2 linked regions of the Xenopus tropicalis genome follow. The protein of the gene in region 1 purifies or fractionates together with the protein of each later gene. This does not show direct contact. Links are inferred from orthologs where the notes say so. Each region holds a gene or a part of one and is shown on either strand. Other genes may lie near its edges. The genes, in order: arcn1 and copz1.

Region 1 (3,430 bases):
TCAAACATTTTACTCTTCTGTGCATTTGCAAGTGTAAATCTACTGAGTTACAACTAATATAAGAAAGATGATGGTGCTGCATTACTTATTGGATTTGCTGAGGGGTGCCAAACATTGGCACCCCCAATGAAATTTCTTTCAACTGACAAAAATAAAATGCAAGCCTTTCGCTAAAGCATTTTTAAGAGTAAAACTGTTTTCTGTTATATAGATATTGGAGTTATTCATGCACCTTTCTTTCTGCACTCTTTACAGACACAGGAAAGAGAAGCCAAGGCAGAGATGCGACGCAAAGCCAAGGAGCTTCAGCAGGCTAGAAGGGATGCAGAGCGGCAGGGCAAGAAGGCTCCTGGATTTGGAGGGTTTGGAAGTTCGGGTGGTTCCTCCATGTCTAACAATGCAGTTTCGCTGATTACAGAGACCATTATAGAACCAGAGAAAACAAAGAGTGCCCCTGTTCCATCACGGTATACAAGCAAAATACAATTGTAAAGTGTTATTGCAAACCAAATGAACTGTATAATATTTAAAATGATGGAATGGGAATTGTAGAATTATGGCTTTAAAAAGGTTTTTATGTGCAACATATTGTCTTGCCCCCTGTAGGCCATCTGGTTCTGGCAAAGCCCTGAAACTTGGAGCTAAAGGGAAGGAGGTGGATAACTTTGTGGACAAATTAAAATCTGAAGGAGAAACTATTGTCACCCCTTCATCTGGCAAGAGGCAGTCAGAAGTGGCCAAGGTGCTTGCTCCTCCCGTGAACATGGAGAGGTCAGTGTTGGGAATTTATGGGGACAGGAAGTCTGATATTTTGTAATATCAGTTGTGGTGAAAGAGGTTTTATCCAGTATTTTCTTTGTATATATAAAAACAGTTATTTATGCTCAGTATTTTGCATTTCTTATAGAAATTAGATTGTGTGATTTAAGTGGGAAGAATTCAATATTTGTTTTCTCAACATTTGAAGAAAGGCTAGCAAAGGCAGAACAATCAAAACTTCACAAATTATTACAAAAGGTGCGATTTATTTGATGACCGTATCCCTTTAGCATTCACATTTGTTGAGAGGGGATGAAATGCACCATTTTAGAGAAATCCATTTATTGATTAAAAGCTCTATTCTCTGTTATAAACTTCTATGCTGTATGTATACAGTTTGCAACAGCTTTTTAGATTTTTATGTTCGAGCTGCCTGTAGCAAACCAACATTTTGGCAGCTTATTATTTAACATGTTATAAATTGTTGGTAACCACTCTCATGTTAAAGGACTTACCACAATAGCAAACTTAGTAAAACTTTAGTATTTTGTGCTAGAATCCCTACCTCTGCTTTGCATCTCCCAACAGGGTCTTTGATTTTTCTTTTGGTGAGCAGATTTGTGCTGTTTTTGACTTCTGAGTATATTCTTTATTTTCATCTACAGTGTTCACTTGAGGGTTGAAGAAAAAATTTCCCTTACTTGCAGCCGGGATGGAGGACTTCAGAATATGGAGGTTCACGGGCTGATTATGCTCAGAGTGACAGATGATAAGTTTGGCAGGATCCGTGTGCACATTGAAAATGAAGATAAAAAAGGAGTACAACTGCAGGTTAGGAAGCATCTGTATTTGAATTACTGAAATAAACTGTCTTTCATGGTTCACAAATGGATTAAAGGAAAAGTCAATCGAAAATATATTTTTTTGCCTGATAAAAGAAAAAATTGTAAGCAACTTTGCAATATACATTCATTACTTTACCTTTTCTATTATTTTCCCTGGTGGCTCTGGCATTTGAAACAATGTAACACATGCCAGCAGACTGACAGACCTGTCTTGCTGGAGCAGACTGACCTTTGCAACATTGTTTAAAAAGTAAATGCTGCTTTCAATAGCAATTTAATTTATAAAATTTTTCAATTAAAAAAAAACTTTCACATTGGAAAGTTGCCTGGAATTATGTTTTCTTTAATTAGGCAAAAAAATTTTTTGAGGGTTTTCAAGTCCTTTAATATGAGAATTGAATGATCAAACAAGTATACTAAACATTTGTATAACATGCTTAGTACACTGCTTTACAGTTGTACTGAATAGTGCTTGTTTGTAAATTAAATGATTGGTTGCATGGCTGAAAAACTAAGAGCTGAAGCTCCAGTTTTAAATGGTCAAAACTTTTTGTAGACAGTCTAAGGTTATGGATGGCTGCTACATATTGTTTTGTATAACTTCGCTTTCTTGTCTCAGACTCATCCCAATGTGGACAAAAAACTTTTCACTTCGGATTCGGTAATTGGGCTGAAAAACCCAGAAAAATCCTTCCCTCTGAATAGTGACGTGGGTGTCTTGAAGTGGAGACTGCAGACCACAGATGAGTCTTTTATTCCCCTCACCAGTAAGTACTGTGTTTTAACATTCAGTGTGCTATTATGCAGGACAGTATTAACTGCAGATCCTTTCATGTACACTTTTACGTGGTTTAAGGTTGCAGACAGGACATCCAAATTCAAACTATAGTCAATTGTTCTAATACACACTCAGTAATAGGAATAATTAGCTGTACACAGCATGTAAGATACAAAAAGTATATGTTGGTAAAGTGAAAAAAACATGCATTTATTTCTCATAATATAAACTTCAGCAGTGCAGGCTAAAGGAAAAAAAATAAAAAAATAAAATGCTTTAAAATGCTGTTTTTTATACCAACCGTACAACACCTGGCGAAGATAAAAACAATAATCCATGCCTTCAAATTTCTATGCAGCAGCTCCCCATCTGCTCATTAGGCAAATTTTTGAGTGTAAGTGACACCGCAAATGCTAAGGGCAAGGGCACACAGTATGTATAGATCCGCTTCTCTCGGTCCTGCTACAGTACAGTAGCTGCCTAATGTGGGCACGCAGAGCTCATCGAAGGTCGGCCTGGAAAACAACTGCTTTCACATTTATCAGGCCCACATCTGACATTTTTGGCAAACTAAATATTTTCAAACTATTTTTTTATTTTGCTCAGCCTATCTAGTTACCCAGTTTTATTTTTACACTGAACTGTTCCTTTAAAGAACAGACTGTACAGTTGCCATCTAGCAAATGCATTGAATGTTTGTGAAATTAATTAAATACAGTTGCTAACAAAACTTTTTAATATGTGTTCAAATGTCTTTTTCTTACCTTAGTTAACTGTTGGCCATCAGAAAGTGGGAATGGCTGTGATGTTAACATAGAATATGAACTCCAGGAAGAAAGGCTGGAACTGAATGATGTTGTCATTACCATTCCTCTACCGTAAGTGATTCTAACAAGGCACAATATAAAGCAATTTAGATAGTAAATATGGGTTTAGCAATTGATTCTCATTATCTTCTTGCAAGCGGCTTATTCATATGGTCTTTTCTCCTGTAGGTCCAAATATAAGAATGCTCTTCAGTATTAATATTGATGTATTCTGTTTTAAG
Region 2 (4,453 bases), on another chromosome or scaffold:
TAAGTGTATTAATGATAACGTTATCTATTGTATTGAATGCCTGTGTGGCCTTCAGTAAATAGGGAAAAGGAATAGGTAGTTATTAGAATGAAAAAACTAACATACAGAAATATTAGTAAAGGTTTATAAACTAGAGTTTCCAAATCTCGAACTCAAATATCTAAATAGGGATTCAATATTGGAAAATGATTAATGTTAAAATAGGGGGCTGTGAGATATTATAAGAATAACCAGGGCTGCCATTGCTATGTGGGGAAAGTTACGCAAATTGCCTAACGTACATATAAAGTTATGGCAAAACTAAATCAATTTACGTAACTTAAACCTGCCTAGAAACTTGTGTAACTTGCATAAAAACTTGCGTACAAGCAAAAGACAATGCAGAGAAGGGAAAACTCCAGTAACCACCAATGAATGGTAAATTCTACCTCCCCCAATGAACTGACTTATTAGCACATTAATTATTCATTTTAACCATTTATATGAACTGCTTATTATAGAGTAATATCTCTGTTTTTATTTGGGATCTATTTACTGAATTCTATGAGTATTCTTTACATTAACTTTTCAGCAGTGGAATGACTGGTTATTGGGCCCCACAGCAACATCATTGGCCCCCTACGCTTATGCAAGTTACTTTGAGAAAACTTACATTTAAACTGCACTGACCCCTAATGAAAAGATTCACTTATTAGCACATTATTATTTTTACTGCTTTAAAAAAGTAAAGTAAGTAGTTTTCTCCAGAAAAGGTGGAAACCCTAACCCCTTTGCATCACCCACGTCCCCATACATATCTCTCCTTACATCCTAATTATGCTTATGTGTTTTCCTTTTTGTTTCCTCTTGTTGTTTGGGTACAAAATCCTGTATATAAGAACCAACATTGCTTCTTTGTAATCAGCTTTGGTGAAGGAACTCTTTGCTGAGATTATCATCTTAGGCAGCCAATACCCACAACACATCTACGCCACTTTTGTTATGCTTCATGTCAGAAGTTTCACACTACAACTTTTTCAACTGGCTAACATAGTGCAGAACACTGGATTGGAACCAAGAGCACTAAGCACAGTTTTTACGCAAAGTCAACCGACCTATCAATTCATTCCAATGTCCGAGCTGTAGCGTAACAGCAGGGTGGAGCTTTAAACTATTAGTGACACAGTAATTTACATCTATTTCCTCCGCCATGGTAACCATTTGCCCAATAAAAGCAGCTTCCGCTTCCAACGTAGACGCATTCGTGTTCCGCCTGTCAGTGACTGAAACCATCAACCAATTAAAAAGCTTTAGACGCTATTAGCCACACCCTTCTTCTTCCTGTTCCAATCAGACTGAGCGAGGAGGCGCGGCTAAAGTTTTGATTGGCAGATGAATTAGCCAACGCGCGCTTTGCTCCACGTCAGCAGGATAGAGAAAGATGGATGCTATACTGTTGGTGAGTGAGGCCGCGGAAATAGCTTTGATTTTAGTGTGAGGGGGCCGGTAAAACTTTATTTTTCTATGGTGGTTGCAATCGTTTGTTTAGCTGGCCAGGCTGCTGTGTAGGGACAGGGGACGAGTGGTTAGGGTCTGTCAGTGGCAGGCTTTGGGCTGTGACTCCCAGCATACGTTCAAACGCTAGGGTAGCTATTCATTTTGGGACCTGTAGGAGATATCGTGCAGCAAAGTAGTTACTTTTTGTCATTCAGGGATGTTGCACCTGAGCCTTACGCCATGGTGAGCCTGTGCCAGGGACCCCCTATTGAATGGCAGGACTGGGCAAGGGCTGCTGGCACAGAAATAATAAAAAATATCTGGTAGTGACATTTTCTGAATATAGTGTGCCAAACTCTATAGTGCTATACCCCTTCTGATATTCCTTGTGTGGGTGTGTGTTTCCTTCCTAATCTGCCTGATTTTTATGTAGAAATAGTAGTAGTAGTAATAGTAAATAGTAGTAGTAATAGTAGTAGTAGTAATAGTAGTAATAGTAAATAGTAGTAGTAGTAATAGTAGTAGTAGTAGATGATTGATTGGGCTTTTAAGGAAAAAGAAAGGTGTCTGGGCTATTCTGAAATCTCTTTGGGTTAGACTGGACAGGCCTGGCGCTTATGCATGTCAGATTGTTGCTATTAGTCTATTTGCAGTTTAACAACAGCAGTTGGGCTATGGCTGATGGTAGAAGAAATATAGAACAGTTTTAACACAATACAATATCTGTATCAGGCATTTAAACTCTTAACAATTTTTTTTTGCAGGATTTTGTTTCCCATGGGGTATTGCATATCCCAGATATAGTTTTATAGAATCTCTCTTTACAGGTTGTGATTAAAGGGTATTGTATTGGGTAAAAACAAGAAAGTTCTAGTGCATTATGCACCTCAAAATCTAGAATAAATGTGCTGAGAAGTTTTTGGCCGATTTATTGAAAATGTATCCAAAACCCTACTAGTCCTACCCATTTTTTCCACTTCCCACTGCCTTCTTTCCCAGACCTGATAGGGAACTGAAATCGTCATTTGCGTGTGTGATTGGCTATGCCCCTCCTACTGTGCTTCTGGCAGGGACCATTAGGACATACCCCCCCCCCCCCCACCACCACTTGAAACATGGACAGGCAGATCCATAGGAAGCTTTAATAAAAAGGCCATTTTGTAAAGCTAATGATTATTTTTATCTCAGAGTGAAACCTGAAACCAGCACCATATATTTCATTTATGCTATATGTCTACTTTAAACTTAGTGTTTGCCGTGTTTATCTACTTTTGAGTGACTGTTCCCCCAAATATTGACGCATGGCATGTAAGTTTCTTGAAAGAAATTCATTAGGAAGCTTTAATAAAAAGGCCATTTTTAAAGCTAATGATTATTTTTAGCCCAGAGTGAAACCAGCACCATATATTTCATTTATGATATATGTCTACTTTAAACTTAGTCTTTGCTGTGTTTATCTACTTTTGAATGACTGTTCCCCCAAATATTGACACATGGCATGTTAGTTTCTTGAAAGAGAATCATTGTATAAAGAGGTTGTTTGGGAATTGAGAAGAACAGGTAACATCTGCTAGCAGAGTCAATGACACCTTGATAGGGACTAACTCAGTAAAGAATTCATACATGCCTGAATCTATGCTCTGTTTTTATTACTATTCCATGTTTCTTCCTTTTATATATTCCCTTTAACAAGAATATCATACATTGCTGTCTTTGAACAGTAGCATAAATTATATTCTCAGTCAGCACCCTAGGCATAAACTGAACAGAACAACTAAAAACCAAATAGTTTAATACTGACAGTATCAGTTACCACTCACAAATTGGAAAGTGAACGTGTCCATCAACCACAAATAAAAGGTAGAACCAGAACAGGCATTAAGTGCTAACGCTTTCCAAACTCCAGGTATAGCACAGTAAATTGGCTCCTTTGTGTTTGGACAAACATGCAAATAATGACTTTCCTATGGTAAGTGGTAAACCATTAATTGAATTCAGGGTCATCGGTGTTTCCCAAGGGGCATCCTCGTCTGGTGGTTGAACTATAAGATGACTGAAAAGCAGGGACAACGTGCTAAATATAGTTTGTTATTGAAATATAAAATGGAATATATTGCATTTATCTAACTAAAAGCATCATGCGCATTTCTAATACAGAGAGGTAGTTTAACAGGTTTCCCCAGAAGAACAGTAGATAGTGGGTATCCAACCCCAGCTCTGATTCACACAGGGAACATTATTTGCAGTTCCCTCTCAGGTCTGTCTAGCTGCTGATTGAATGGCATCCTACAATGCAAGTGCTGAGTGCCACATAATCTCCTTCTCAACCTGGGAAAGCAGCAGCTCAATTCGGTGAATGGTGCTAGCAAGTTTTTTACATTTACGTAACTTTTTCAGCAACACCAAAGGAAACTTAAAGGTACATACATGTATTTAGAAGTGTATAATGCAATGAAAAAATGCTTCTTCTTGACACCATTTGTCCCCTTTAAGTATAATGTGAGAGGTCTGCTGGATTTCAAGCCTTTCCCAAAAAATATTGTCTACCTGGATTTAGAATTTTCAGTGTCAATTTTAACCTGGAGGATAAGCCCCAGCAAGGATTTTCCTTCTGTTACTTTTATTACAATTGAATAATCAGAGTGAATTACTAATTGATTGCTGTGGGTTACTAAGCCAAAGAAAACTTTCCTTGTAAATATTGCTTAGATCTGATCCGTTCTCAGTTATGGCACTTTTGTCACAGTGACAGTCAAACTGTGCCCCTCCTGGTGCAGTTAAACTTCTAGATATTAAGGGTATAAGGATACTGGAAGTTCAAAAGGATTTCTGTTATCTATTTTCCCTTGATATGGTCCTAGAACACTTAAATAATTTTTTATGTTTTTTGTTGGAGGGTGTTGATATTTATTTCCTGTATTAATGTATTCCTTATTAATGTGTTGGGAATCACAAACATTCTTGGGTTGGTAGGGCA

What was found.
Region 2: the proteins of arcn1 (region 1) and copz1 fractionate together in Homo sapiens (co-fractionation; 5 studies listed by BioGRID and IntAct, with this or other methods). This does not show direct contact. The link is inferred for Xenopus tropicalis from reciprocal best matches to the Homo sapiens genes ARCN1 and COPZ1.

The regions. Positions count from the first base shown.
Region 1 is NC_030683.2:80,549,633-80,553,062, reverse strand, and holds part of arcn1 (coatomer subunit delta), read left to right. Parts: intron 1-255; coding exon 256-467; intron 468-606; coding exon 607-771; intron 772-1,424; coding exon 1,425-1,590; intron 1,591-2,223; coding exon 2,224-2,371; intron 2,372-3,151; coding exon 3,152-3,260; intron 3,261-3,430. UniProt on the Homo sapiens protein: Component of the coatomer, a cytosolic protein complex that binds to dilysine motifs and reversibly associates with Golgi non-clathrin-coated vesicles, which further mediate biosynthetic protein transport from the ER, via the Golgi up to the trans Golgi network.
Region 2 is NC_030678.2:145,583,764-145,588,216, reverse strand, and holds the start of copz1 (coatomer subunit zeta-1), read left to right. Parts: upstream 1-1,332; 5' UTR 1,333-1,420; coding exon 1,421-1,438; intron 1,439-4,453. UniProt on the Homo sapiens protein: The coatomer is a cytosolic protein complex that binds to dilysine motifs and reversibly associates with Golgi non-clathrin-coated vesicles, which further mediate biosynthetic protein transport from the ER, via the Golgi up to the trans Golgi network.